Diceros bicornis minor: one gene and its partners. The main gene of each other region encodes a partner of the protein of the gene in region 3 in a complex. Links are inferred from orthologs where the notes say so. Each region holds a gene or a part of one and is shown on either strand. Other genes may lie near its edges.

Region 1 (7,242 bases), on a different chromosome or scaffold from region 3:
GGCAACCAGTCATACCTTCAAAAAACGAACACCAGCACACTTCACGTAAACATCTCAATATACCTACGCAAGGGTTCTTGATCTAGGGTCCACAAACAACAAAAGAACTCTTGGAAATCATAAGTAAAATCATTTTTGTCTGTGAATTTTCTGAAGAGAGGGTCTTTCAACACACGCTCAAAGGCTCTGTGACCCAAAAAAAGGTTAAGAACCACTGTGCCAACAGCTCAGTGAAGATGAGCCATGAGTTAAAGAAAACATCAAGTGGAGAAGACTCAGCACACACCCTCACAACATGCTAACAATGCACATTAATTTGTAATTCTACACTGAGAAAGTGAGAGTCTAACCTCGTGTGATGGAGAACTAGTTCTCCATACGTAAACATCACAGTGTCACAGTATACAAACAGCAAATACTGGCCAGATGCAGGGTGTCTCCAAAGAGGAAAGCACAGCAGTAAGGACCAGCTGGTGTATTAAGTCACTAGCGCACGTCCTTTGTGAATCAGGAGGTGTTCCTAGTAACTACAGTTACAGGCGCAGGCACAGCAGGGCACAGGCTGTGGAACCCCAGACAGACTGAACCCTGACTTGGCCACTTCCAGGCCAGAGGGCCCTGGGCAAGGAGCTTGCCCTCTCAAAGCTTCCTCTGAAAGGGGTGAGTAGTAAACGCCAGCCACAGAGCTGCTGTGGAGACTGATCGTCTTATAAAGCACCACAGGGCCTGCGTGTACTGAGTTCTTGCACTAGTGTTATTAGAAAAGCAGGGGGGGCCGGCCCGGTGGCGCAAGCGGTTAAGTGCACGCGCCCCGCTGCGGCGGCCCGGGATTTGCCGGTTCAATCCCAGGCGTGCACCGACGCACCGCTTGTTAAGCCATGCTGTGGTGGTGTCCCATATATAGTAGAGGAACGTGGGCACGGATGTTAGCCCAGGGCCGGTCTTCCTCAGCAAAAAAAAAAAGGAGAATTGGCAGATGTTAGCTCAGGGCTGGTCCTCCACACACACACACACACAAAAGAAAAGCAGGAACAAGTGCTGCTGCTATTACCACGTAAAGCCAACCACTGCAAGTGTTCATTGTTGCCTGACAAATGGTTGGTTTTACAAAAGGAAAACTGGATCTGAATCACTGAGAGCATCGGAAACCATCGGTTATCCTACTAGTCACCCAGGGCCCTGAATGAGGCCCTACAAACCACAGAAAACAGAAAAGAAAACACGAACTCTCCCACTGCCAGCCTCTTCATACCTAAGAGCAACCAGATTGACCCACATTCCAAAAGGCTTCCTAAGGACTGCGGGTTGTCCTGTAAGGGCTGGCCTGAGGACCACCTTGGCAAGGATGCTGCTGCGTTTACCATGGACACAAAACACCCCTCCACCAGATACAAGCAGGCGGAGAGAGCTCTTCTGAAGAGAGATCACCTAAGTGAATATTTACTTAAAAACTATCTTCATGAATCTTCACAACTGTAGTAGAAATAAAACCACAGATACCCCACATCACAAGTATTAATCCTCGGAGGAGTCCACTGTTCTCTGTGGATTTGGGGAACAATTCCTGCAAGATTTCTGGCTCTGCCCTGCAGGGAGCACCTCCCCTCAGGGGACCTCTGGAAACGCATAGGGGTAACTTTTGGTTGTCACAGTGACTGGAAGGGTGCTCTTGGTATTTAGTGGGCAGGAGCCCAGGGAAGTTAAACAGCAACAGACACGTCCCACCAAAAATGCCAACAGCGTACCCCCTAAAAACAGCTGTGAGGAACATTTAATTGCAGCGGCTCACGTGATCTTTTTGATGCTCTTGACTTGTGTTAGTCACCACAAGTGGACAGACGCAGACTTCGGCGACTGAGCAGAACCCATCTCCTCCTCACACGAGTGTGAGGCAGCGCAGGGGCAAGGAGGCAGCGACACCTATGCACGAGTCAGGCACACACACCTGTGAACATCTGACTGAAACACAAAGGGAGGTGACAAGCACTCTTTGTTGAAGAGCTCAAAGCTAATTGGACAAACTGGCTTGAAGAACATTACTTTAAAACGTGTGAAAAATGTCAGGAGCCTAATGCTGTCTCAGAGACAGAAAATCAATGCATAAGAGATGAAAAACAGTCTGCGTCTGTCTAGAGCTCTTCTTAGGCACGCAAATGACCGGTGGAGGACGTAGCCACAAACCTTTACTTCCAAAATGAAGTGAGTGCAAGTTTCTAATTATATTTTTAAGTTACATTTTTAACTTCTTAGAGAAACAGCAACCCATTTCCCTTGCCACTGCACGTATGCGCGCCCGGCGTCTGCTCGGTGCGGAACCACTCGGGAACCACTCGGCGTGAGGAGTGGCGAGCGGGCCTGCGGCCGTCCTCCGCAATAGGGCTCAAGCATCCTTGCGTCCCTTCCGCGTCACCCGTCACCATTTAACTCGGTAACTGTGTCACGAGTTAGACGTCCGCCTCTCCTGCCGGGCTGCAGGCTCCGGAGCGGCGGGACCACCTTACTTCTACACGCCGCGCCCTGTCCGCGCCGGGAGAGGATGGGGTGGGATGGGGGACAATGGGCAGGCGGGAAACAGCAGGGCCTGGCGGGCCCTGGACCGGGGCAGTGGGAAGCCACCGAAGGGTTACGAGACAACTCAGGTCTCCACAGAGACCTGGCCCAGAGGCGGCCGCAGCCCGTCAGCCGGGAGAGAAGGGGTGCGGACGGGGGACGGCACCGGGGACGGGGGGAGGGCGCCAGCCGCGCACAGGGGCGGACGGCGAACAGAGACCCGCTCCGGATCCGAGCCGGCGGCGCCACAGCGCGGAGGCCAGCTCTCCCCGCGCCGGCCGGGCGTCCGGTGGGCAGAGGGCTCATGCCACCCCCCGGCCCCTACCCTCCAGACTCGGACCCCGCCACCCCTAGTCCCCCGGGCTCAGGCCCCCCGACCCCGGCTCCGACTCACCGCAGGACCCGCGCGCGCACAGCCCGCGCCCGCGGCGGAAGTGGCGCGACGTCACGTCCGGCCCCGCCCCGGCCGGCCCACAGACGGTGGCTGACAGAGTGTGGCGCCGCCGCCGCGCACGGCGATGCAGCTGCCCCCCGCGCTGCACGCCCGCCTCGCCGGGGCACCTGGGGCGGCCGAGCCGCTGCCCGTGGAGCGGAACCCCAAGGCCGGGGCCGCGCCTTTCCGCTTCATGGCGCGCCTGGTGCGCTTCCCGCGCGAGCATGAGTTCTTCGAGGTGCGTGAGCCGACGCCGAGGGCCGTTGTCCGGCGGCGGGGCCTGAGGCTCGGGGGTGGGGCCTGGGCCGTGGGCGGAGTCTGGTGGAGCGGAGCCTCCGGCTGAGGGGCGAGGCCTGGGTCGTGGGGCGGGCCCTGAGGCTCAGGGGCTGGGCTTGGTGGAGTGGGGCTTCTGGCTGAGGGGCGAGGCCTTGGTCGTGGGCGGAGCCTGGTGGAGCGGCGCCTCCGGGTGAGGGGCGGGGCCTGGGTGGGGGGTGGGGCCTGGTGGAGCGGGGCCTCTGGCTGAGGGGCGGGGCTGCGGCTGGGCGGGGCTGCGAGGTGCCGGTTCAGCCCACGGCGCGTGTTCTACAGGAAGGGGACGTCCAGCGGCACCTTTATCTCCAGGACGTGCTCACGCAGGTTGCCGGGGAGCCCGAGAAGCCCAGGTGAGAGAGGCCCTTCTCGCCCCCCAACCCCACCCTGCCTCCTTCCCGTGGCTCCCATCCTCCCCTTCCCGACCACCCCTGGGGTGGAGGTGGGGAGGACCTGCCGCCGCGCCCCCTGCCTGCACGGTACGCGCCGGAGAGGCTGGCCTCCCCACCGCCTAGCTGGTGTGAAAATATAGTTCTTAACAGGGTAGGATTTGGGGTTGTAAAAGAAACACTCAAAACTCTATCGCGTCACTTAAAATGAAGTTGTCGACAGGGAGTTTGATGTTTTTTGTCAGCAGCGGAATGGTGTCCCCATGAGGCCGTTTCTTTTGCCAGGGTGCCCGAGTTCACCTGTCAGGTGGCGGGCTGCTGCCAGGTGTTCGACGCCCTGGAGGACTATGAGCACCACTACCACACTCTGCACAGAAACGTCTGCTCCTTTTGCAAACGGGCTTTCCCCTCTGGACACCTGCTGGATGTCCACATCCTGGAGTGGCATGACTCGTTGTTCCAGATCCTGTCCGAGAGGCAGGACATGGTGGGTGACTAAGGCCAAGTGCAGTTGCTGAGGGGGTTTGTTTCTGAGCTGTCTGCCCAGCGGGTACCAGGGCCGAGGGGTTCAGAGCACTGCTCCCAGCTCTCAGGGCCAGGGGCAAGGCCAGGGGGCACCTTCCCCGCCCTTGGCCCCGGCCCTGTGCCCATGGAGGTGTGAGGGGAGGGCTGGGGGGGGTCAGGATGGAGGTGACGCCGTTTCTGCTTCAGTATCAGTGCTTGGTGGAAGGCTGCACAGAGAAGTTCAAGACCAGCAAAGACAGGAAGGATCACCTGGTGAACCGTCACCTCTACCCTGTGGACTTTCGGTTTGATAAACCAAGGAAAACCAGAAGGTACGTGAGGCGACACACGTGTCCACGCTGCAGGATGCGGCCACCTCTTGAATTTAGACAAGGTTTTGAGTGTGTAGACTTTAAGGATGAAGATGATGTAGTCCAGCATCTGTATCGCTTAACCTCTTATTTAGCTGCAGGTGACGGAAACCCTGAGAAGTCGAGAGTCACCAAAAGAGGTAGACAAGTGGGGGTGGTTTTGTGTGGGGTCCCCTGCTAGAGGACAGGAAGGGGAGCACCGGGCCTCCCGGGCTCTGTGCTGGGGTGACTGGGGGACCCTCGAGTGTCTGCCAGGGCGTGTAGGAACACCACCACGTTGCTCTGCACTCCCACCTCACGAGGCTGCACCTCTCCTCCGTCCTGTGCATCAGCTCTGCTTGCGTGGAGCAGCTGTGGGCCTTGGGATTTGTCCCAGGCCCTGAGCCCTCCCCTGACATGGGCCTTCTCGTGTTTCCTTTGTCCCATCAGTGCACATTTACGAACTTGACAACAAAGCGGTTTGTTACACGTCACTGTGCAGAGTGCACTGTGGGGAAATGCCTGTGGGGATAGTTCTTAAATCTGTGTTACGTTTCTTTGCCTGTTCCTGTAACTGATTCTTTCAGGTAAACTTTCATAACCATCTGAAAGTTGCATTGAATGAAGTCTACTCAGACTAATTTGTTTTCCTCTAACAGAACTTTGCTGTTTAAAGTAAAATAATTCTGAGAACCCACTGCGACGTGGGAGATTTTTGTAAGGCCTTGAGTATACGGTAACTCCTTCCTTTCCAAGGGATCATTTTAAGAAGAAAACCCTGCAATGGTGGATGGAAACATTGGTGTTAGGGAGGAGACTCTCAATATCGTACAGTCAACTTTAGTAAATTTCTCACTGATTGTCTGGAAAAGACACTAGGCACCCTTGGTAGGCATTTACCACGTGGCACCGTAAAAATACTATTTTCAAAAGACAAAGTATAGGGGCCGGCCCCGTGGTGTAGTGGTTAAGTTCCGTGCACTCCACTTCAACGGCCTGAGTTCACAGTTTCGGATCCCAGCTGTGGACCTACACCACTCATCAGCCATGCTGTGGTGGCGACCCACATACAGGATCGAGGAAAGATTGGCACAGATGTTAGCTCAGGGCCAATCTTCCTCAGCAAAGACAAAAAAAAGAAAGACAGTGTAATTGTTATACCTAAATTTATAAAATGTGGTATTTATCATATAAACATTCACTTATGACCTTCTGTAATTCTTCTTTTTGTCCTGGTAGCCTGGAAACTGCACTATGCCATCATTGTTTTAAAATATCTTTGCCAGAAAAAATAACATCTCCCTCACGAGTTCATTTCTAGGGGAAAACTGGGGCTGCAGGAGTAGACGCTCACCCCACTGTCCTCCACAGCCTAGCCACACCCCAGGTCACCGTGCAAGTGTCGGCAGAAGCCCTGGGGGCTGACTGGGAGCAGTCAGAAGGGGACGCCATGGAAGGCTGCTCAGAACCCGCGAGTGAGAGGCGCACGTGTGGCCACAGGTCAGTACCTGGTCTCTTTCTGGAGCAGGTTCTGCACTTGTGTCTTACGGGGAGAATCGCGGGGTTGAGCCTGGGCCGGCACCATTACTGAGAGAAGCTGGCGCCGGGTCGGAGTGTGCGCTTCAGCAGGAATTAAAGCGTGACTCTCCTGTCTCCGAGTAACTTAGTTTCTCTCGTGCACTCTGTGTTTGGTACCCTTGCAGCACAGAGACGCAGAGCACCCCCCCTTGTCATCGTGGCCTAAACTGGGATAGAAAGAACCTTGGTTGTAATTGCATAAGTTACAACCTGTGAGTCTGTCTTTCTAGCATGAACTGTGCTTTTATTGGGTTAAAGTTGATTTGAAATCCGATTTTGGGAAAAATGGAAAAAAATCGCCAACAAATCCAAGTTGACAAGAAAATAGACTCATGTCCCTCAGTTGCCTTTGAGCAGCTGCCCGGACTTTGGCCTGCGAGTGAGTCCCGGGTGCCAGTGGGTGGTTAGGTTTCACCCGATGGGGGGTACAGGAAGTTGGAGCCCTGGAGAGTTTGGCAGGAGGCAGCCTTCCTGGCCAAGTTCTCAGCAGCAAGCGTGTGTTGGTGGCTGGGAGGGTCTCCCATAGGAGGTGGGTCTGAGGCAGGCTGGCCAGCTGCAGTCAGGGAGTTGCCCAGGGCTGCACGAAGGGAGAGCCGACGTCCTGAGTGCTCCCCAGGGTGAGAGGGAGTGTCCTGGAACGAGAGGAACACACCCGAGACCGGTTATGAATTGGGTCATTTGTTGGTGAAAGGTGTAACAGTTTAGTGTGAAGATTGTTTTCCATTTCAGAATACCTCCTATCATCTGTTTTGGTCAAGGTGCATCACGAGGATTTAAAAGCACCAAGAAAAGAAATAAACACCAGTGACAACTGAGATGGAGAGAAAGAATCACAGGCCTGCGGGCAGACCCTGAGGCAGGACCCTTGCCTTTTGCAGGACATGGTGTCAGTGGTGGGCTTTTCTTTCGCCTGCTGGTGTGGCCCCTAGGACCCAGGCCTTTGCCACCCTCAATGTCTGGGTCCCTGGGCTAATGATGGAATGATGTCAGTAGCCATCATCAGAAGCAGTGAGAGTCCCACAGGTTCCAGAAATGAGCCCAACAGGTGCTCCAATGAGTGAGACGTGGAGACTGGCCCACCTCCCTCTGCAGGGCCATCCTGAGAATGTCCTTTTTAAACACAAAAAGT
Region 2 (7,847 bases), about 34 Mb from region 3:
TCCACTGCTTCCTCCCCTGTCTTTATCAAAATCCTTTCAATTCACAATAAAATTACAAATATTTGTAGCTGAGTTCTACAATCCTTGCAAATCACTGACACCCATTAAAAGATTAAATCACTGTTAGCTGACTCTAATACTGACAGGAGAGAGGTGGTAAGAGGATGAGGAGAAATAGACTAGATCTTGAAGGAGGGGAGTCAGACTCAACAAGCTTTGAACACTTCAGTTAGGCTCTCATGGATAGTGAAACCCCTCATTAACAGAATTTCAAAAATAATTGTGTTTGAGTAGGTCAGCCCAGCCCCTTGGGCAAGCTAAAGTTTTATTTCTGGGAATGAGGGTGGAGGAAGGTGGGATTATAAAAGACTGCATTTAGGCCTTTTTCAGTTGAGTGTATGGTCAATTATTTACAGTGCAAGTGTCACTGTTTCCCTTTGTGCCTGAATCATTATTGACAGTATGAAAAATAGTCATTAACTTAGCAATAATTTCACTTCACATTTTACGTGACTGTCTTGGACCCGATTATGGCATGATAGCAGGGATTTTCTGTAAGTTTACAGTTCTAATGGACACAACAGTATTTGGCAGCCACATTTAACAAGGCTGAGGGCCGGGCCCATGGCTTAGCGGTTAAGTGCGCGCGCTCCACTACTGGCGGCCCGGGGTTCAGATCCCGGGCGTGCACCGACGCACCACTTCTCCAGCCATGCTGAGGCCGCATCCACATACTAGAAGAATGTGCAACTATAACATACAACTACCTACTGGGCTTTGGGGGAAAAAAAAAGGAGGAGGATTGGCAATAGATGTTAGCTCAGAGCTGGTCTTCCTCAGCAAAAAAAAGAAAGAAAAAAGAGGAGGATTAGCATGGATGTTAGCTCAGGGATGATCTTCCTCACAAAAAAAAAAAAAAAAAAACAACAACAAAGGCTGATCCGCTGCCTACTTGGGGCTTTCTTTTTACCTTCTGGTGTGTGGCCAAACTGCATGCAGAGGAACAGTGTTCTCTAATCCACACATTCTCTCCTCCAATTTTTGCTTTTTTAAAAATATCTGGCATTTCTTCACTTTTTCATGTTCTTACACTCTCTAAAATCTTTATTTTACACACAGTTCTCTCAGTAAAAATCTTGATGATGGAACCAATACAAACTATCAGTTCTCATTTCTACATCAGTAGTTCCAACAGAGATAAAACGCTGAGTTTTCTATTCAAATAGGATCCTGTGGCCGTAGACAATAATGCTGTATACATATAGCTTCTCTGTACATAAATCCACTTACAGGGCTGGCCTGTGGCTGAGCGGTTAAGTGCGCGCGCTCTGCTACTGGCGGCCCCGGGATCGGGTGCACATCAACGCACCGCTTCTCTGGCCATGCTGAGGCCGCGTCCCACATACAGCAACTAGAAGGATGTGCAGCTATGACATACAACTATCTACTGAGGCTTTGGGGGAAAAAAATAAAATTAAAATAAAAGAAAAATCCACTTACAAAACAAAATTAATAAGTTTTGATACATCAAGAAGGATGGGAAATAGGCTGAATATGATGTTAAGAACAAAATTCTATTTTTCAGAAAAACTGCAAGGAAGATACTTGGTAAGTAAAAAATTAGATGCAAAGGCTCTAATAATATAAGTAATTCTGTGAAAAGGAAAGCAGCAGCCAGTGCAGAAAAAGCCAGAAGCCTTATCAGAAATCTCTATAAAGAAGGGTTATATTAGGCAGTGGAGCCTACAGTGAAGGAGACAGAGGTAGGATATGTAGGCCAATACTGCTTAGCGAGAATTCCATGGGGTTATGTTTTAACAGAGATAGAGGGTGATGTGGGTATCCCCTGGAAAATGCAAAAAGCAATGTCTAACATCCATCAAACACATATATACATAGATGCGAATAAAACAGAGACAAAGGAGTCTGTAAGCGGGATGCCATTTTAACACAAAAATAATACAGTAACTATCTTTTAATGATCACGTTCAATATGCCTTTACCTAGTTATCTTATTTAAACACTCACGATAACCCTAGGAGGCAGTAACGTCATTCTACACACACACACACACGCAGCAGACTTAAAGATGTTTAAGCAGTTTGTCCAAGTTCACCACTAGAGGTACAAAGTGGCAGAGCCCGCATTAGAGCTTAGAGAGAGGGTAACTCCAAGACGCTCAGTTCGTCTTCTACCACCTGTGTGTCGGCTTTAAGCCGCACGCCTCGGGGCGCGAAGACAGAGAAATACACTACCGGCCCCGGACACCGGCGTCACCCGCTCCATGACGAAAGTGGGGCGATTCTGATGAAGGGGCGACTCGTTCATTCACCGAATGCTTAAAAAGCGCCTACTAAAATGCAAAGGACAAAGAATGTAGCGGTGACCGAAGAGACACGGCCACGGTGCGCACAGGCTGACAGTCTGGAGGCCTTCCACGGCGCGCCCCGCTCGCGACTAAGAGGAAGGGACTCACTGGGCGCGCCGCGCAGGCTCTGGCGCGGCAGGAGACGGGTGGGGTGGGCGCGGCGCGCGGGGCTGGGCAGCGAGGGAAGGACGCGAGGACCCGGCGCGGGAGAGGGGCGTGGCGCGCGGGGAGGGGGCGCGGGCGGCGCGCGGGGGTCCGGCGTGGGACGGACGGGGCACGCGCCGGGCTGACGTGGAGGCCCAACGCCGTGCACGCGACAAACTACGCAGGAGCGAAGAGACAACTCTCCAAAGATGGAGACACCAGCCCTGCGGCCCCGGCGGATCGCCTGGGAAGCTCTTCAAAGATGCCGTTGGGGGCAGGAACTGGACCTAAAGTCCTGCTGGGCTCACCCCCGCCTGGGGGCCTTGGCTCTGGGAAACGGAAGCGAGGTAAAGGGGGCGAAACGGGCACTCACCGTCCATGGTCTCCCTGACCGCGTTCAGATTCGCCGCCGCCGTCGCTGCCCCGGCGCCGCCACTACTCGCCATGGCGGAGGCCGAGGGAGGTGGGAGAAGGGCCTGACCCGGAACTGGAGCGCCTTCCTTTCTCCTGGGCAATCACACCGCGCGTCCCCCGCTCACGCCGGGCAGGCTCCGCCCCTCGCGCTCGTCGCCGGCGTGAGGCTGCGTTGATTTGAATTTGGAGCCTCGTTACTCTGCGCGGAATGTGAAGCGAGGAGTTGCCATTCGAATTTGCTACGCGGCCTCAATGCGATTGGCTGGTTCGCGGACAGCGGTGCGATGCGATTGGCCAGTCGCCCACAAGCCCCGTGCCCTGGTTGGCCTAAGACAGCGCGGAAGCGGGGAGTTAAAGAGTCTGCCTGTCGTGGGAGCTGGTCTGGCCCCTCGGGAGCGCCCTGGAGTCGCTTTGGGGGGCTTCCTTTTTATACACACCACTAGGTACGTTCTTTGTAGTTCTTGGCCTTTCTTGCTGTCTCGAATTGGAGCGCTTCACGTTTCCCGGCTCCGACCTGCCTGCCCGCTCGCCCCGGGGTGAATGGGAGCAGCGAGGGAGTAGGTGCGGAAGAAAGGGGTGCCAAGAAAGAGTGATCGCGTAGGGTTGGGGGTGACACCGGCATGAGTGTCCTCCTCTGCTCTTCTTCCCGAAGCCAGCTGCACTTCAGCGTTCCAAGAAGTGGATTTTTTTTCTCTAGTTGTAGCGCCCTGTTGACTGAAAGTAAAGCAGTCTTGCCTTCAATCCTGGGGGTCTTAGCGAAAGGAGGCTGTCTGAGGCGAGGCAACTAAAGGGGGTTAATTTCCTAGCCTCAGTCAATCGTACTTCTCTGACCCGGGCTGATGTGCAAGTAAGGCACCCGTGCACAAGCTTTCTTGTCTCTCATTTGCTTGCTACAAATACTTGTTGTTTAGTAACTGCAGTTTGATAGGGAATTGCTGGGTTGTCTGAATGATGTTCAAGTGTTTAGAGACTTGAGATAATGAATAAAAACACTATAGGTATAAGTCCTTTAGTTGGAAAAGGATTTGTGCTTGTAGTAGCATTTAGTTGCCTCGAAGGCGGACGTGAACTCAGTCATGCTTGGTCAACTGTTGCTTAAAAGCCACTTCTCTGAGCTCGTTAATTCTTCTGCAAAATGGTATCACTAATACATTTCCTTTCTAGCTTTCAAGGTTATCTAGAGGATCTCTTGAGAAAATGTATGTGATGCTTTTTGTAAATTATAAAAAAGCCCAAGAAGTTAGGTTTTGAGTTCATGCTTTTGTGAAATATATGTTTGTTGAATATATTTTAATTGTCAAAATGAATGTCTATGGAACTTTGTAGTTCTATTATACATACTTCTGATTTCCTTTTAGTTTTTTGTCTGTGCTATGGGAGATGTCAAAGAATCAAAAATGCAAATAACACCGGAAACTCCAGGAAGGATCCCTGTTTTAAACCCTTTCGAAAGTCCTGGTGATTATTCTAATCTCCATGAACAAACTCTCTCCAGTCCTTCTGTTTTTAAATCAACAAAATTACCAGTAAGTTATGCTTGACTAGTGTTTAAAAATAATTTTAAATGTAATATCTTTCTTTACAAGGTAGAGGGGAAATTTATCATGGAACATATATATCTGGAATGTGCTTTTTAAATTGTTCTTTATAGTGTAGTGGTTGGGCTAAAAATAAGTTAGCTAGAAGATTTTTTTTAGTTAGCATTTCTCTCTTTTTTTTTTAATTTAATAGATAATATGTTAGTTTCCTGCAACTGTGGATGTACCTGGATACTATGGTTGATGATATGTCTACAAATACCATATTAGAAAATAAGCCATGTCATCTAATTATCTATTCTCATTTACTCAGCAAACATTTGAATGCTGCTGTGTGTCAAATACAGTGCTAGGCATAGAGGTTATACCTTGAACAGTCCAGGTCATTAGACACAAACTCTCAAGAAACTTATACTCTAATGCAGGAGTCAGCAAACTTTTTCTGTCAAGGGCCAGACAGTAAATATTTTAGGCTTTGCGAGTCATCTCGTTGATGTACAAATACTCACCTCTGCCTTGTATCACAAAAGCAGCCATAGACAAAATAAACGTGGCTGTGCTCCAAGAAAGCTGTTTTTTGTGGACACTGAAGTTTGAATCTCATGTAATTTTCACATGTCATGAAATGCTAATATTCTTTTGGGATTTTGTTAACCATTCTTAGCTTGCAGAGTGTGTGAAAAGAAGCCAGTCTCTACTCTAATGGGATAGACACAACTAAACTAGTGACCACAGAATATGATAGGTGCCATGGTTAAGCAATGGTTAAGCATAAGAGTGACATGGAAGGGAAGGTGCTCTTGAGGGGATTAGGGAAGCCTTCATCACTTGAGCTTATTCTTACTGTTATGGGCTACATTGGAGAAGTTCTTTGGAAGTCTGATCTTTTAACCTAGTAAATTATCTACAAACTGGGTGGCTCTTTATGCTACACTTTCACATCAGCTTGAGCAGGTATGCACTAGAGGAAAGTTTTACAGTTACACAGTTTCTGTTTAGTCATTAATCTCACCTTATGATTTTTAATTGAATCATATAAATTTTAATCAGTCTTAATAAAAATAATTGAAGGACGGCAACTTAATCCTCAAGGCCAGAATGATTGGCCTCTGGGGTTTTTAAGCCTGAATTTGTCAAAAATATATTCTGAATTACAGATTAGCATTTGAATAAGTTTTTGGTTTAGTTGGATAATTGAATGCGAAAGGGCAGTGCTAGTTGCCATTCGTAATTATTTCAAGGATCAACTATTTAAGAGCTTTTGCTGGCACTTTTGTAGTTAGAACTTTGTTTAATTTCAGTTCATTTTTAGTGAAAGTAAAGACTTTTGATAACTCTAGGAGATTCTTACTTGGGCATGTTACATCACTGATGAGTGTTAATTGTGGAATTTCTATACCTTTAATGCTCTACTGTAATTTTTCTATTACTATGTAAAAAATCACCCAGAGGGAAGAGTTGGATATTTTTAAAGAGATACAGTCAAGTCAGTTGATTCAGTGTGATTTGATTACCATTTGCCTTTTAATTTAGTGGTGAAGTCAAATTTTAAAATATGATCTGTAAGATATTTTTATATTGTAACCATTTACATTATTTTTGAAGCTGATGTTGGTTAGCATTTTAATGAACTATGTTAGTTTGCTTTTACTCATAAGCTCACTTTTTTTCCTTAAGACTCCAGGGAAATTTAGATGGTCTATTGATCAACTAGCTGTAATAAATCCTGTAGAAATAGACCCAGAAGACATTCATCGTCAAGCTTTATACTTAAGTCATTCTCGGTAAGTTTTCCTTTCTTGCACGTAAGTGTAATAACCCACTCTCAAGTGAAGAGAGAGAGGAAATTCCAGAGTGAATATTTTTATATGTAAAGATATCAGGGAAGAAAAATAATGATACAGATTTATCCTATGTAACTGAAGAACTGTATCCAGAAAGATTTCCTCACTGACAGTTCCAAATCTGGGTAGGAGTTGTTTTCTTTTAGAGATAACCTTCCTCTGCTGCTTATGGGACAACTCTCCCTCCCCAGCATTGGTAGAGGGAGGGCATTTTGAAATTTGTACGTTTCTACCTAATTGAGGCTTCTGCCATTGAATTTTTGTTTTGTTTTCTTTTTTGGTGGTGTAGGGTAAAGCAAAATGCTATTTCATTGTCATCTATGTTTAGGGAAGCCAAAAATCCCCTTACCAAATTAAGACACATTGAATGGAAGGGTATCCATTAACAACAGAGAGAGCTTTTCTAGACATCATCCAACTTTGATGTGGGACACTTGGGGATCTGAATTACATTGTCTTGAATTCACCTAGTAATCAGAGCAGCCTTAACTTCTTTGTTAATGTGTCGTGTAGGTTTCCGACTACTAATGTGCCTCAGACTTGTGCTGCTTACTGATGCCTAATGTAGTGAGACCATGCACTTCTTTGGTGGAACAGACCTAGTTTTTGATTACAAATTGCAGTATTCTGTAATTACAAATTACTGATAGCAGTATTCATTAATAGTTCGAGGGACTCTTTTGTTGATGTCAGTTTTATAGTCTGATTTTTTTATATTTGAAAAAATATCACATACTGGCATGACCAGCTTTTAATTTTCAGTCCTAAGGTACATATGTTGTCAGTTCAAAATAATAGATAATCCTTTTCCCTTTAACTTTAGAATTCAATCACGCAAAGATGCGCACATGTTGAAATGCTCTTGCAAATATTTGTCTGGCTCTTCTATCCCTTCCTCTCTTGGCTTGGTAACCTGATGACCATTCCCTCATAATTAGTTAATGTTCCTCCAAAGTGTTGTAGAAAGGGAATAGAATGGAGATAGAGCATAAAAAGATTTTAACTTAAATCTAAATAATACCTTTGAAAAAGAAGGTGAAAAATAATATCTAAAAGCAAATGAGTCACAAATGAGACTAATTTTTTATCTCACACAAACTGTGTGCTTTATTTTGCCTCTTCTCTTCAGTATATTCAACTCTGGGCAACTATTATCTATCAGTCAAGAGATATTTGTTGAGCACTATGAGGCACTGTGAGGAACACTGAAGAAGGATAGAATGTTATTCCTGCCCTCTAGAGTCAACAATACAATTAAGCAAAGTTGTGACACAACATTTGTATAGTTGTTAATAAATGATGTATTGTCTGGGTAGGCTTATGAAAAGAATCTTGGTGTATTTCAATTGATATATTTATAATATAGGAGAGGGGAAAAGAGTGGGAAAAGACCCTAATTTTAATGTAATTTACTAATGTAATACAGTGAATGGTTATGGCTTCTACCAAGGGTAGTGAGTATACTCTTAAAACATGTTGAATCATTTTTAGAAACAAGCACTTGCTTCCGATGTCTCTTCCTGCCTAATCCGAGTTCCC
Region 3 (6,998 bases):
TTAAAAAAAACAACAAACACATTAAGTACAACTTTCAAATGAAGCCTAAAACTCTGAAATTTCAATATACATATTAATAGACATTTGGTGAACAGTTTAACATACATTTAATATAATTTTTAATGTATACTTAATATACATTGATTTTCCCAAGCATATAATCCAGGGAAGACCATACTTTATTCAAAACTTCATCAAGAGCTCTTCACCATTTCGGAAAATCATGAAACCAACAGCAACACCATGTGTGGCCCAAGAATCAGCACACAACACTTCTTTATCTGTCTACACATGGCTCACAGTGCACTCACGGTGGTGTTACAGATTAGGGCAATCACCTTACTTTAGTATGTAGTGTACTTAGTCACACCTAAGCATTTGTGTTGAAATATTTACTAATAAAAACTCCCTTATTTCTTCTTTATCTCATAATTAAAAAGAGGGTTACAAGGTATGAAAAGGAACGCTGCCTCTGACAAGAGTTAAAACACTATAAGATCACGCACATCATTTCCAAAGACAAATAATGACTATCCAAAGATATAATAAGCAAAATGTGCTCCAGGAGAGAGGCAGAGACATGGAGAGAGAATTCTCCTGCCACTGGTGGACAGTTGTGGTTCAAGCAAATTCACAGGTGTTATAAGATGGAAAAGGTGGAATAATGGTTATACTAACTTTAGAAAAATGTCAAGCACCACTACCATTAGGTGCTTTGCTTCGAAGGTCCCTTGAAGCCAACCGTAAAATTTTTTTTAAAAGGTTCTTTATGAAAAATTGATTCATATGAAATTCACATTAAAAGTAACGTGTCTATTATGCCTCAATTTCATAGTATTAGAAAAGCAATATATTACAAAAGCATAACAGCAACTGTTTGTAACATGTCATTAAAAAATGAAGTAATTAACCAAAGGTTCTACTTAGTTATCAGATAAAATACCCACTAATGAAAAAAAAAATTTTTCAAATGTCAAACACTGTAAAGGCAGCAATTTATATTGCTCCTTTGCCCACTAAGGTGGAACAAATTAAAACAAGGCAAGCTATTAAATAGTTGTAAATTCTTTTGTAAATAGTAGCATAATTTGGAATTATGAATATAATAACTGTTTGGCAATCCTAGCTGTCCAGAACAAAGAGAGCATTGTCGTTAATGGATTTTATAATATATTTTACTCCGAGAGGATCCCCTCAGGATCTCACAGAGAGCCTGCCCACTCTTAATTTAGACACAATTCCAAATGGAGAGCCAGGAGGGTGCAGAACTTTGCTGAAGAGACATTTCAACCTCCTGGAAGCAGTGAAACTAAGTCAATCGAAAGGAGCTGCAAATATAAAATTTGTTTCAACTGAGAAACATCATGGTACCTCACAATGAATGGCCTTCCAAGTCCAGCTGTGACAATGGGAACGTATGTGGTTTATCCCTGGAGGAAAACCGCGGACCCACCGGTCTAATGAAAACACTGACATTAAAGTGAGCGAGTCATAACCAACAACCTTAGCTCTTGGGTTTCTCCCATGACTCGGAACATCAAATCAGAATGTAACTCCCAGTGCAGAGAGACACATAGAGAAGAGCTGGAGACAAACGCAGAAGACAGCAGACCAAGCTCGCACCCACCCCAAGACCTTTGCACCCTCCACCCGGAGCTCTCCCCAGATGCTCACAGGGCCCTCCCTCACTCCATTCATGTCCTCGGAGGCTTTCCCTCACCTCTTCCCTCGACATCCCTTTACTTTATTTTTCATCACAGCACTGATCACTAATGAACATTATACGTTTACCTATTTTATCACGTCTCCTCCACTAGAATCTAAGATCTACGGGAGGAACGACCTGTCGGCATAGCTCTGCATCACCAGCACCTAACACGGTACCTGGAGTGCGCTGGGGTGGGAGCAAAAATGTCTTAGATGAGTAAAGTGACACTGAAACTTTATGAAACGCAGCAAGAACTGCGTGAAGGCAGTGGCACTGAATAGACTGACAGAAAACTTCACTTTTTGCCCCTAAGGTTATCATAGAACATCAAACAACTGATGTCAGCTAATTGCCATGAATCCTGAAGGCCAAAGTGTAGTCCCAATACTTTAGATGTAATTTTGTTTAAGGTCTTCCCACAACAACTGAACAGTTTCTTCTCCACGTTACGGTGCTTCAGGAATAAGTAACCCAGTTGCCTCCATTATTCCTTCGCGCTGCATCCCCACTACTCCCTCCCTCCCACCAAAACGACACACTGTGCCATTTTCACAAGCACCACGACCACAGAATGGCTTTCCACACCGTGCAGGACTGGGTTTGGGAGCAGTGTTCCCTACGTAAACTCCCCAAAAACAGTTCCATATCAAATTCAACCCTCAGCCCCTTACAGAAAAATACGGCAGGTGACAGCCGTCGGCACCCCCTTCGCTCCGCCTCAAAGCTGCCACCTCCGCTAAGGGCCAGGGCCCCTGACGCGGCTCGGCCCCGCCGGCGCCCCCTGCGCGCGGCCACAGACGCGTGACCGGCCAGGCCGCCGCTCTCCCCACCCCGGTGAGCGCGCAAGCGCCCGCCGTGCGGGGACTCAGACAAGGGGCGCGTCCGCGAGCCGTCCTCGCGGGCGCCACTCCGGCCCCGGCGCGGGGAGCGGTGACTCAGCCGGCCGGGCCCTGCCCTCCGCCCTCGCCCGGGGCCGCAGCTCCGCGACCGCCGCGCCCCTCGCCGCCCCGGGGACGCTCTCGCCCCGGGGACGCCGCCGAGCCGCACGCGCGGGGAGCGGCCTGCGAGACCCGAGCCGGCCCCGAGCCGGCCCCGCCGCTACCTTCGCTCCGGCCCAGGATCCGGCAGCACAGGCTCTGCAGCAGGACGTTGGGCGACTTCTGGTCGGGGGTCGCCATCCTCGCCCGGGACTGCCCGCGGAGCCCCCGGCCCTCGCCCGCCTGCCCGAGCCCGCCGCGCTCCGGAGACCCCGCCGCCCGGGCTCCCGCGTCCCCGACAGGCTAAGGCCCCGCGGCCACCGCCGGCGACCAGGGCGCCATTTTAACGGAACCCGCCGAAACCGCGGGCTCTTCCCACAAGGCGCCGCTTCTTCCGGGCGCTCGGGGCCGCGGGTGCGCCGGCCTAAGGGTTCCCCCCGACCACCGCCGGCGGGGTAGGAAGGTTCCGGCACCGAGCGCGCTGGGCCTCGCTGCTCATCGCCTCCCGGTAGTCAGACCCTCAGACGTCCCCAGAGGGTCAGGACGCCTCAGACCTCTAAACGTCCCCAGACGTCCCCAGAGGGTCAGGACAGCTCAGACCCCCAGACGTCCCCAGAGTGTCAGGACAGCTCAGACCCTCAAATGTCCCCAAACGTCCCCGAGAGCAGGACGACCACTGACTTGCTGTGGGAGTGCTTGGTGCCCAGCAGCGCATCCATAGTCCCTACTTTTTTAAAAACGTCATCGGTTCTTGTCACACTTTCAGTGGAAGAAGACTGTGTAAAGGAGTACAAGAATTTTACGATTTTACATCTGGTCGAGCGTGACACCTGCACATCATCCAGCTTTCCAGAAGTGTGTTGTGGCTGCTCACCATCTCAGAGCCCGTCCCCACCTGATCCCAGGTGACCAGTACAGTCATGAGAGACAAGTCAGATGAAGAGTGAGAGAGGGGAGAGGCCTGAAAAGGAGGAATAACAGGCAGTTAGGACAAGTCACTCTCCACGAACTTATAGACGTGTCACATGAGTGTGCGGAGAAGCCGGGTGCTGAGAATGGCCCAGTCCAGGGCCAGATGAGCCAGTCCACACATCGGCTGGTCAGAGTTATGGGATCCCGGCAACCAGGAGTATACTGTTCAAGTCAGTAGATTAGACCAAGGGCGAGTAGTTGTCTCACGCTGGACCAACCTAAGTTTCTTTCCAGGGAATTTGGAATTAAGATCAAAAGAATTTGTATTTTCCAGTGGCCTGAACTATAACACAGAAAAACAGGCAACTTCCAACAACCAAGTAAGCAGAGAAAAAGCCACCCCTCCCCTCCACAGGGTCAGAGGAGAACCCAAGCCTTACAAACAAGACCACCCTGCTAGCACTCGGGCTGTCAAATGGGCCTTAATGGGAGCCTACGGAGGAAGGGCCAAGGCCCTAAAGGAACACTATTCATCTGATGGCACATTTTAACACCTGCCTTGCATCGTTTGAGTTCTAGGAATAGGAAAACCATAAGAGTCACAAGACAAAGGCCAAAAGAGTGTCTGAGTGAGGCAACTGGAGGCCAGGACTTCACACCAAGAGCAGAACCGCAGCTTCAGACTGCAGCATCCACAGCTCTCCTCCTTCCCAGCCGTCCTGCTGTGCTTGCCCAGGCTTTCGAGGTCATGGAGCCCCAGCCGCAGTCTTGCAACGTCACAGGGTGCAAAGACAGCAAGCGGCACAGAGAGGGAAGGCGATTAGAGAACACAAGGCCCAGCACAGTGGGCGATGTGCTCATGTGTCCTTACAACCAGCTCCTGTCACTGAAACTTACCTGCGTGTGCCTTTGCTCTTCTGATCTAAAGATGGAAATAAAATAACTAAAATACACAGTGGGCATGTAACAGGATGTAGAGAAGGACTCGTCCAAGAATTGGCAACTAGATACAAAACTGAGGACACTACATTTTAAAGAAAGCCATAGAAAGTGGGAGGCAGACACTGCCTCGGGGTCTGTTAGGACGCAGCCACGCTGGCGTTGCTAATTCTCCAACCATCACTCCCATTCCTGAAAGTCCATCTACAGCTGCTCAGTGACCGTGGGGAAGGAGGGCGTTCTGGAGGTCCTGAGACAATTTTAGGGACATCAGGACCTACCCTGCCCGGAACCGTGCAGAGGTGAGCCCCCTGCATGGAACCCGCAGGAAAAGTCATGCATGTGCTCCACAAGAGGGTTGGCCTGGGACACCTGCCACAGAGATGGCATTGACGGCCACTCAAGGTTAACCAGAAAGTGAGGACTACTGACAGAGGCCACGGTCTCGTGCCAAGTTAATTAAAAGATTTTTAACCTCTGTCCCTAATCCTTCCATTGTGACTCAAATTAAGAGAGTTAAAATTAGTAATGGGAGGTGGAGGAAAATAGAAGGGCAACTGATGTCCCCTCCCTTCTTCAGATACATTAGGCTGATGAGGTCTGGGTGCACAGGAATGAGGAAAAGTCATGAGCTGTAGATTGGATCTGGCACAAACGCCTTGAATTTGCCTGGTGATAAATAAATGACAAGCAGCAGGATATACTGGAGTATATGAGGAAGCCATCTGGTGTAAAAGGAATTCAGCTTGATCTTGTTTTTCCAAAACGGCCTGACTGACCCTTGAGCATGCATTGTATATCTGCTTTAAATATTTACTATGCCCAAAGGCAAGAACAATACCCTTAAGATAAAGTAACTTCCCCCACATCAGCATTTCTTTAAGGATAAGTATCTCTCTCTCTAGGCTAGGGATTGATTGCTGACCTGCCATGACCACCCAGCTTGAGACCACAGACCTGCTACCTGCTGTGTTCGTCAATTGCTATGTGAATCGCTGTGCCAGGTAGGTAGGCTAGGCAGTCACGTGACTGCTGTAAAAGGGACATTCCAATCATATGTGATACATGCTCTTTGACGGTATATAACCTCTCTGTACACCCCACTTCTTTGACGCCCTTCCTTCCTTGGGGAAGGAAGGCCCCAGGCTAGTTCTTAGATCTGGCTCGTAATAAACTCACCCCAATTTTGATTTATAGATTGATTATGGATTATTTGCATCAACACTGGACAGAATTTTTTTCAAAACCAAATATGACTAAAAGGCCGTGGGTCTGCCTGAGATGTCACTACAGACGAGAAGTGGAGAATCTACCTGGCCTACTTGGGGAAACGTAACTGGCAAAAAATAAAAACTTTTCAGAAGTCTAACCCCTAAAATTAGACTTCTTAAAAACAGGTCCCATATGCTATAGTAGAGGAAATAGCTATGGGGTAGTGTTCTACATTTCTTGCCCCCAATAAACTGTGCCTCCCAGAATTCTCACCTTTTATAATCCCCTTCCCCTTGCCTTGGAAGATCTCTGACTTGCTTTAGCTAGTAGGATGCTGTGGGAGAGCCGCTGTGCTGGTTCCCAGCCTCAGCCTCTGGAAGGCCTGACAGGTTCCTCCTAGCACTCTTGGGAGCGTTGAGCCTCCATGTTAAAAGTCCAGCTACCCCACAGGAAAGATCATGGAGAGAGGCCACATGGAAAGGGAAAGATCCTGAGACCCCATGAAATGAGAGAGAGGGGCCCAGCTATTCCATTATCCCAGCCCCCAGCCGACCCTCCAGCTAAATGCAGCCACACAAGAGAGAAACTGCAAAGCAAGCAGAACGCGCACTGAGTCCAGCCCAGGTTGCAGAATTGTTACCAAATAAAATGTTCATTGTTCTCAGCCCTCAAGTTTGGGGATGATTTGTTACACAACAGGTAACTAGTACAAATTACCTTTGCCTGGTGGGGTTCAAGCATGGCTCCATGGAGGACATGCCCATCGTTTGCCTATTTGCTCTCAGATCCATTACCTGCCCTTCCCTGATCTGCCCTACATCCTAGAGAAGGCTGTGATGCGAACTCCCTGGACGACTGGCAGGTTCAGCAGATGGGAGTCACTGGTAGAAACTGGAGGTCAGGAGGAGACAACCAAAGTTATCGCCTCACAGCATTCTGCTTCTCACTTTGCCTATGACGGTAACTGAGTATCCCTCTTGGCAACATCTCCACCAGTCAGCCCCCTCTTTCGTGGTTCCAACCTCCTCTGTACAACTCTCATCATGGATCTCACTCCCATTGGAAGGTTTCAGAATGTGGGATACAGTAACATCAGTCTTCTTGCTGTCTCTTCAGCCCTGTGAAAAGTAGCCACTTTCTGCACTTGTTAATCTCCTAGTCCTCACCAGCTGCTTCAACCACCCACGTAAATAATTCCCTGTATTAAATCCCCCATGTTGAAGTTGCTAGAGTGGTTTCTGTTTTGCAGA
Region 4 (7,706 bases), on a different chromosome or scaffold from region 3:
GGAGAAGGAGGGGTTCTGGATGTGCAGGCGGTCTGTGGCGATCCGGTTCAGGGCTGTGTTGTCCAGCACCACCTGGGGGGACAGAAGAGGGTCACGGCACCTTTTTGAGGAGAAAGGGGGCAGAGAAATAAGTTATTAGCTTAGTTCCCCTCTAAACTCCAAAACCAAGAAGTGCGTTTGTTAATTTAAAAGGAAAGTACTGTGTCTGGGGCATCACGAGACACTTTTCTACCATCCAGTACAGTAAACAAATATTTGAGTGTCCCCATGTGCCACGCATTGTGCTTGGCTCTGGAGATACCCTGGATTGTAAAACAGGCATGGTCTTCCCCCTCACCAGGTCTACAGTCTAGTGGAGGGAGACTGACATTAAATATAAAATAAAAGAAAAGTATAGTTACTGCCTGAAATATGCACAAAGGAATTTGACCTTGATTGGGTGGAAAGGAAAGTTTTGCTAAGAAAGTGACTCTTGGGCTGAGAATTTAAGCATGAGTAGGCATTAAATAGGCAGAGTAGGAGCACTTGGCGGGGGAGAGTATTCACTTTGTTGCGAGTCCACCTGCCTAAACAGACTGTAAGTAACTTGGGGTCAGGTCCTTATTTCATAACTTGGGCCATCAGGTATGGCTTTGTTGGTCCTTTGTTCTCTGGGCAGGGGCTTGGGAAGGGCAGGGTGTATGTGTCTCACTGGTTTGGGGAAAAGCCCCCCACTCCCTCCTCCTATGCTCACCACACAGTCTGCGTTCTGGGTCAGCCTCTTGAGTGTGAGCAGCGAGTTGTAGGGCTGGACCACCACGTCGCTCATCTCATCCTGGTTGGGAAACACTGAGTACGTCTGCACCAGCTTCTTGGGGTACCTGGGGGTGAGGAAGAGCGAAAGGGAAGGTGGCACAGTGAATTGGAAGGCCCCCCATCACTGCCCATCTCTGCCTTCTCTAGGGTCTACAGGGGCCATTCCTTTCCAAGTGCCACCAAGCTCTTATGCAAAAGGGGTGAGGGCAGAACTGAGTCTTCAGAGCCCAGGAGCCAAAAAGGATAAGCCTAAAGATTCACTCTGTAGGTCTCCTCCTTCCCTAGGCAAACCTCTCTCCCCAGAGTTATTGCTTCCAAGATGTTCCCTGGGTAGCCAGGCTCTGATCCTACCTATGACTCAAAGGGGTAGTGGCAGACCTTCCAATCCAAGAGAAAAAAGTAACCAAAAGGAAAAACATTACCTAGAGAACTAGGGCTAATGCCTTCTCCCCAAACACAGGCTTACCTATCATTCAGTCGTTCGAGGAGGTAGGAGCCCAGGCCAGAACCTGTCCCCCCAGCAATGGAGTGACACAGCACGAAGCCCTGCATAGAGAGGGACAGAGAGGCAGTCTCCAGGGATCTGGGGAAGATGCTTCAGGCTTGTCTCCTTCCCACTCCCAACACACTCATGTTTCAAGGCTTCCTGTGTATCCATCCAGGCTGAGGCTCCTTGGGAAGGAAGGCTCATGCCTAAGGAGCTGATGCCATCCAGACTAGGATCTCCTTGATGACAACTGTACCTTATTTACCCCGATATCTCACATCTGATGCTCAATAAATGAGTTTGGAATCGAATTGCCCCCATCACACCACCCATTCAGCCTACTACCTGACCTTCCCCAGCACTTTTCAGCCTTTTTTTTTTCTTCAGTGGGCAGAACCTCACCTCTAGGCTGTCACTTCCATCTGCTTCTCGGTCTATGATGTCAAAAATGTCTTCATGGATTTTCTCACCCTGTATAGAGACATGGGGAGGGAGGGTCAGGATGAAGTCTCTGGAGAGCATCTCTTTTTAGCACCAAGAACGCTACCCTGGGGCACTGCTGCTGTCCTCAAGCAGAGCCTCAGCAGGAGCCCTCAAACCAGAAATGCTACTTTGTAAATGATTTGCACAAAGTTTGCATAAACTCCCTGGCTATCCCTCTTGTTAGGGTATCCCTTTGTCTCTTATTTATTGTCAGTCTGGTCTGGTCAAATCCCCAGGCTGCTTGAGCCTGCCTTGTCCAGGGGAGGGAACATCAAGGGTCTCTGAGATGGCCATCTGGATACCTGGGAGAATCCGCTGGCCCAGTTGTTGCCAGCCCCTCCTCCATGCTCTGACAGGTAGATGTTCTCTGGGTTGTAGAGCTTGGCATAGGGGGAGTTGAGGATGGAGTGGATCACCCGGGGCTCCAGGTCCAGCAGCACGGCCCTGGGGATGTAGTGCTCATCGTCTGCCTGTCATGGGGAGTCCAGGAGGGGGCCCAATCAGCTAAGGCCAAGGCCCCCGTCCTCCCAGCTCTGGCTCCTGCCTGCCCTCCCTCCTCAAGCCAGCCGCCCTGGCTTCTCTGCCCAGCAGGTTTCCCAGCACCAGGCCGCTGCCTTCCCTTTAGGACCCCTGGCCAAGTCGCTGGGGGCACCTGGTAGAAAAAGACGTCCTTGCGGTCAGTGCCCTCGGTGGCAAACTCCTCCACGATGCCCTCGGGGCTGATACCATGCTCGGCGCACAGTTGTTTCCAGAACTCGAACCCAACTGGGGGATGGGAAGAGATGCCTGAGTCAGGGTTAGGCTGTCACACTCAGAGGCTGCACCCAAGACGCCTGGTCTGCGAGCCGTCACAGCCCAGGGCTGGAGGCGCGGCTCTCAGTCTGGGGCTCATTCATCATGCGCAGTTACGGCAGGGGGTTCATGGAAGGGAAAGGGGGACTGGAGGATGCCAAGCACTTGGGTGGGACCCGAAGAGGCAGAACCGGAGACTGGAGGGGCCCGCCGCTCGCTTGCTCACTCTGGTTGCCGCACTGGCCCAGCTGCAGGGTGATGATCTCCCGGGGCATCGCTCTCCAGACGTGGGCGCGCCAGCCTGGCCCGGCGGGAGTCACGGCCCAGACGAACGCCTAGCAGCCGGGTGCGCAAGACGTGGGGAGAGCGCGCGCTCTTCGCCTTTTGACGCGGGTGCTCGGTCTGCGCGTGTGCAGTGCGGGCCTCCCCGCGACCGGGGGGCCGCGGAGCCCAACCTGGGCATCATTTCCCCCACAGCAGTTGCAGCTGGAATTCGGCACAGGCGCAGAGGAAGGCCACGCCCCCTCCTGCCCGCCCACCCCAGCTCCGCGCCTGCGCGGTGAGACTTGCCGGGGTTGCAGAGTAGCGACCCGGGTGTGGGGGAGGGGAGGGGAGCGGGGGTGGGGGGGGAGAGAGGCCCAGGTGTATGGAGTCAGTGGCGCTATATATATAGGTGAGCTACTCCGCTGGCTCTGCTGGAGCCAATTTTCTTCTTTTAAATTTCTATTTTTAAATTAAATATATCTAACAAAATTTACCATTTTAACCATTTTTTTTAATAAAGGATGCTTAACTTTTTTTTTTAAGTAAGAGTGGCCCTGAGCTAACATCTGTTGCCAATCTTCCTCTTTTTCTTTTTTCTCCCCAAAGCCTTAGCACATAGTTGTATAACCTAGTTGTAGGTCCTTCCAGTTCTTCTCTGTAGGACGCAGCCACAGCATGGCTTGATGAGTGGTGAGTAGGTCCGTGCCCAGGATCCCAAGCGGGGAACCCCGGCCGACCAAGCAGAATGTGCAAACTTAACAGCTATGCCACCGCTATGCCATCAGGCTGGGCCCCATTTTAACCATTTTTAAGTGTACAGTTCTGTGGCATTAGGTACATATGCATTGTTCTGCCACCGTTACCACCATTCATCTCCAGAACTTTGTCATTTTCCCAAACTGAAACTCTGTACCTATTAAACAGTAACTGCCCCCCATCACCATTCTACTTTGTTTCCATGAATCTGACTACTCTAGGTGCCTTCCATATACTGTGGAATCATACAGTATACATTATTTGTCCTTTTGTGTCTGGCTTATTTCACTTAGCATAAAGTCCTCAAGGTTACTCCATGTTGTAGCATGTGTCAGAATTTCATTCCTTTTTAAGGCTGTATAATATTCCCTTGTATGTATATACCACATTTTGTTTACCCTTATTCGTCTATTGATGGACCATGAGGTTGCTTCCACCAGTTGGCTATTGTGAATAATGCTGCTATGAACATCTATGTACAAAGATCTGTTTGAGTCCCTGCTTTAAATTCTTCTGGGTATATACCCAGAAGTAGAATTGCTAGATCATATGGTAATTCTATGTTTAATTTTTTGAGGAATTGTTGTATCATTTTCCACAGCAGCTGCACCATTTTACATTTCTAACAGCAATGCACAAGGGTTCCAATTTCTCCATATGCTTGTCAACACTTATTACTTTCTGGGTGGTTGTTGTTGTTGTTTTAATAATAGCCATCTTAATGAGTGTGAAGTAGTATCTCATTGTGGTTTCTGTTTTATTTTAAATTACAAAATGTTTTAAGCATATAAGCATAATTTTGTATTTTTACTATATATTGTTTGTTTTGAAATTTTATATAGATGGTATCAGAGTGTAATATCCTTTTGCAACCTGCTTTTTTCACCCTACATTAGATTTTTGTGATTTAGCCATGTTGATGCATGTAGATTTATTCCATTCCTTTCAACTGCTTTATAGTATTTCATTGAATGGATGAAACCAGTTTATTCTATTTCCATGCAAGGGAGATTAGATTGTTTCCACTTATTTCCTATTACATCAAACGAGTATAAGACTTGTCCACTTGTGAACACGAAGAAAACATCACTACCAAGGGCATGAGCAGCTTCAACTTTACAGGGTTTCAAATATTTTCTTCTAGATGATTGTACCAATTTACACTCTTACCAGCAATAGAGTTTTCATTTCCCTACACCCTAATCCGCACTTGGATTATCAGATCTTAATTTTTGTCAGTCCCATGGATGCGAGTCCAATGGGATCTTGTGGTTGTAATTTCCAGTTATGGTACAAGTGAAGTTGATTTTATTTTCTTTTGTTACTGACCTTTCCAAATTGCCTGTTCAGCTCCTTTGCCCATTTGTGTGTGTGTGTGTGTGTGTGTGTGTGTGAGAGAGAGAGGAAGATCAGCCCTGAGCTAACATTCATGCCAATCCTCCTCTTTTTGCTGAGGAAGACTGGCCCTGAGCTCACATCCATGCGTATCTTCCTTCACTTTATGTGGGAGGCAGCCACAGCATGGCCTGACAACCGGTGCGTCAGTGCGTGCCCAGGATCCCAACCTGGGCCACCAGCAGCCCAGCGGGGGCACTTAACCACTACATTACGAGGCCGGCCCCCATTTTTCTATTGAGCTGTTTCTTGTAGATATTTTAAGATATTCTATGAATTTTTTCTTGGTTGTATGGTTGCAAATATTGTCTCTTGGTCTATGGCTTGTCTTTATGCTTCGCATATGGTGTCTTTTGGCATAGAGAAGGTTTTAATTTTAATGTAGACAAAGTTATCCATCTTTTCCTTTCTATTCTGCACGTTTTATACCTTGTTAAAGAAACCTTCCCTTCTCCTAGCATCATAAAGCTGTCCTTCAATGTTTTCTTCCAAAAGTCCCGTAGCAGTTTTGCTTCTTGCCTGTAGGACTTGACTTCATCTGGAACTTATTCGGAGGCCTGCTGTAAGATAGGGATCTGCTTTATCTTTTCCATATGGATGGCCAATTGTCTCCGAACCAATTAATGAAGACACGCTGCAGTGTCCCCCACCCCGGGAACATTCCAAGCCCCCGCTCCCAAGTGGGCCGGCTTCTGGCCGCTCTTCCGCTCTGTTGGGCCGTCTGCCTGTCCCTGTCTGGTCTGGCAGGCTTTCTCTGGGAGCCGCTGCAGAGGCGCTGACGAAAGCACACCGCCAAGAGTCATGCTCAGACGAGGTTTTTTGTTTTCTTTTCTCTCTCTCTCTCTCTTTTTTAAGAGAACTCGGCCGCCTTCCAGCGCCGGCCGCCAGGAACCCTCTGGACTTCTTTAGAAGGATCTGGCTCGCCCCACGCCCGCTGCCTCCCCGGCCTCGGCTCAGTTTCCCTCTCCTTATTCCACCCCGGCCGGGAGGCCCGTTTCCTTCCGCTCCGGCCGGGCTGTCGGAAGATCCGAGCATCCCCCAGGAGGACAAGGAGCCTCGCCCTTTCAAGGGGGGGTCTGGCTGCTCCCTTTGAAGTTTGAGGGTGAGGTCGGAGCTCCTCTCGGGTCCCTCCCCCGACAGAACTGCTCCTTAAGAGCTGAGTGTCTTCAGAGACTTTGCCAGGCCCTCTCCGGGTCTGCCCAGGTGAGGAGGAAGGCTTCCAAGATGCGAGTCAACTTGCCTGGCCTCCCGTCCTTGTGAGTCTGGAACGGCTATTGACTTCCTTTAAAATAATAAGCTGTAAGCAGTTTATGAACACTTGTAAAACGTGAGAGTTTAATGTCAACCTTTTCTTACGATTAATAACAGTGCCTTGCTCCTCCTAGTCTCCCAGAAGTGGGAAAACTTCCTTTGAATCCCAGTTTATATGCAAACAGGTTAGAACGTGTGAATTTGTCTAAGTTGGAGAAGTTGCCATGGAAGTTTTCCCTCAGAAGCCTCTCTGACAAGCTGGAGGCTCCTCCTAGTCTGTAGAAACCGGTTGGAAACTCAGATGCTCATGTACATTAGCAGAGCTGAACATAAATCCTCCCGGTTGTTGTCAGGCTATGCTTTCCACTTCTGCTGAGAACTGACTGGTCTCTATTGGTTAAATGAGATGATGCATGAGCACCTAGCATAGTGCCTGACTCACAGAAAACATTCAGCAAATGTTAGCTGCTGTTATTATCACTAGATGCAATCGGAACTGAAGTACAGCTTGGCTGTTGCTACAGATGAAAGATCTTATTCAAGGTAAAAGCAAAATGAGTGGTTGCTTTAAATAAGTTTGAAAAAATTAAAACCTAATTATTTGTGATCACCCTACAGATTTGGTTTCAGATCAAACTTCTATTGAGGTTGAGCAGAAGGCCCAGGTTCATGGTCCTTCTCTTGGGTTTCAGATCCAGAGTCTCAAGGTCATTACCCATGGCTTGATTATTGAGTATTGAGTTTAATCTGCGTGGCTCTATGTTCTCTGATCCAGGTTATGGTAACATAGTGGGATGTGGCATTCCTTTGTCTGAGGCCTTGGTCTGCCTCTGATGATAAATGTAGCATTTGTAAACTAACAAGTTTGTTAAATGTCCAAAGCCTTTATTGGACATTCTAGGTTGAATAAGACTTTTTTTGTATGCCTCTTCATTTCTGGCCTTTTCTGGACACCTGGCCTGTAGTATGCCAGGAGCATAGGTATCTTGGGAGGTACGGAGGCAGAGGTGTGAGGTGGGGAAATGATGGTGTCTCTCCGGGACTGGGAGGAAGAAAGACTTAAGGTCTTGAGACTGGACTCCTGTGACCCTAGGGAGTTCAACGTTCAAAATGAAGCCAAGGAAAAATTAAAACAATAAAGGCAAAGAGCTGGAGCTCTTTATGTGAAGGGAGTTATGCTAAATTCATATTTTGGTTATGACAAAACAGGCTATTTTGTTCTGTATTGTGTTCTCAAGGAATAGGAAAAAGGAAATAAGCCTAACATAATCCCGTTTGTGGATTATTTGCTCCTGCTTTCATTCTTTTATTATGCACCTGTACTATGCAGGGCGTGCTAACATGAGCTGGGGAAGAAGAAGTAACAGAGCCAAGTGCTCATGGTCTTGTAGAGGAGAAAAACACACAGCAGGATTGGCACAGAGAGCAGAGTTGAGGTCTTAACTTGAGGGTGGGGGCAGGGAGAGGCCTGGGGACTGGGGAA

Evidence for each region.
Region 1: the proteins of TUBGCP3 (region 3) and TUBGCP2 are in contact, whole or in part, in a cryo-EM structure (PDB 8Q62), measured with the Homo sapiens proteins. The link is inferred for Diceros bicornis minor from reciprocal best matches to the Homo sapiens genes TUBGCP3 and TUBGCP2. Residues at the interface, in NP_006313.1 of Homo sapiens: Glu272, Asn273, Cys274, Ser286, Leu287, Asp289, Thr290, Val292, Arg293, Glu296, Trp299, Ser361, Thr363, Leu364, Arg365, Leu368, Val369, Tyr372, Lys375, Ile376, Lys379, Ala382, Ala383, Asp386, His387, Ala402, Tyr403, Lys405, Thr406, Gly407; in NP_006650.1 of Homo sapiens: Gln172, His173, Pro175, Ile176, Phe177, Pro178, Trp180, Arg184, Ala186, Leu187, Ile188, Gly189, Phe191, Leu222, Tyr223, Val226, Val228, Asp229, Gly230, Arg231, Glu278, Ser281, Phe283, Gln287, His290, Ala291, Ala294, Arg297, Val300, Lys301.
Region 2: the proteins of TUBGCP3 (region 3) and MZT1 are in contact, whole or in part, in a cryo-EM structure (PDB 7QJD), measured with the Homo sapiens proteins. The link is inferred for Diceros bicornis minor from reciprocal best matches to the Homo sapiens genes TUBGCP3 and MZT1. Residues at the interface, in NP_006313.1 of Homo sapiens: Lys7, Pro9, Leu12, Leu13, Asn15, Leu16, Cys17, Arg19, Ile20, Leu21, Arg23, Val28, Gln31, Tyr34, Ala35, Val38, Ile39, Asn42, Phe43, Ala44, Pro45, Thr46, Ile58, Leu62, Arg67, Asp70, Phe74, Leu77, Lys80, Leu81; in NP_001065243.1 of Homo sapiens: Asn17, Ala20, Val21, Glu23, Thr24, Val27, Leu28, Glu30, Ile31, Ser32, Arg33, Ile34, Leu35, Asn36, Thr37, Leu39, Asp40, Glu42, Thr43, Ile46, Cys47, Val48, Arg49, Leu50, Cys51, Glu52, Gln53, Gly54, Ile55, Asn56.
Region 4: TUBGCP3 (region 3) and tubulin gamma-2 chain share a complex: the UniProt entries of both Homo sapiens proteins name them as parts of the gamma-tubulin ring complex. The link is inferred for Diceros bicornis minor from reciprocal best matches to the Homo sapiens genes TUBGCP3 and TUBG2.

The regions. Positions count from the first base shown.
Region 1 is NC_080745.1:95,367,259-95,374,500, forward strand, and holds the start of TUBGCP2 (gamma-tubulin complex component 2), read right to left. Parts: upstream 3,013-7,242; 5' UTR 2,945-3,012; intron 1-2,944. Other genes in the region: ZNF511 (zinc finger protein 511), read left to right, coding at 3,069-3,221, 3,572-3,645, 3,967-4,168, 4,393-4,517, 5,907-6,035, 6,843-6,921. UniProt on the Homo sapiens protein: Component of the gamma-tubulin ring complex (gTuRC) which mediates microtubule nucleation.
Region 2 is NC_080748.1:52,856,986-52,864,832, forward strand, and holds the start of MZT1 (mitotic-spindle organizing protein 1), read right to left. Parts: upstream 3,011-7,847; 5' UTR 2,959-3,010; coding exon 2,886-2,958; intron 1-2,885. UniProt on the Homo sapiens protein: Required for the recruitment and the assembly of the gamma-tubulin ring complex (gTuRC) at the centrosome.
Region 3 is NC_080748.1:86,404,532-86,411,529, forward strand, and holds the start of TUBGCP3 (gamma-tubulin complex component 3), read right to left. Parts: upstream 3,019-6,998; 5' UTR 2,887-3,018; coding exon 2,811-2,886; intron 1-2,810. UniProt on the Homo sapiens protein: Component of the gamma-tubulin ring complex (gTuRC) which mediates microtubule nucleation.
Region 4 is NC_080757.1:41,711,248-41,718,953, reverse strand, and holds the start of tubulin gamma-2 chain, read right to left. Parts: upstream 3,019-7,706; 5' UTR 2,833-3,018; coding exon 2,784-2,832; intron 2,531-2,783; coding exon 2,418-2,530; intron 2,236-2,417; coding exon 2,068-2,235; intron 1,754-2,067; coding exon 1,685-1,753; intron 1,342-1,684; coding exon 1,262-1,341; intron 861-1,261; coding exon 734-860; intron 73-733; coding exon 1-72. UniProt on the Homo sapiens protein: Tubulin is the major constituent of microtubules, protein filaments consisting of alpha- and beta-tubulin heterodimers. Gamma-tubulin is a key component of the gamma-tubulin ring complex (gTuRC) which mediates microtubule nucleation.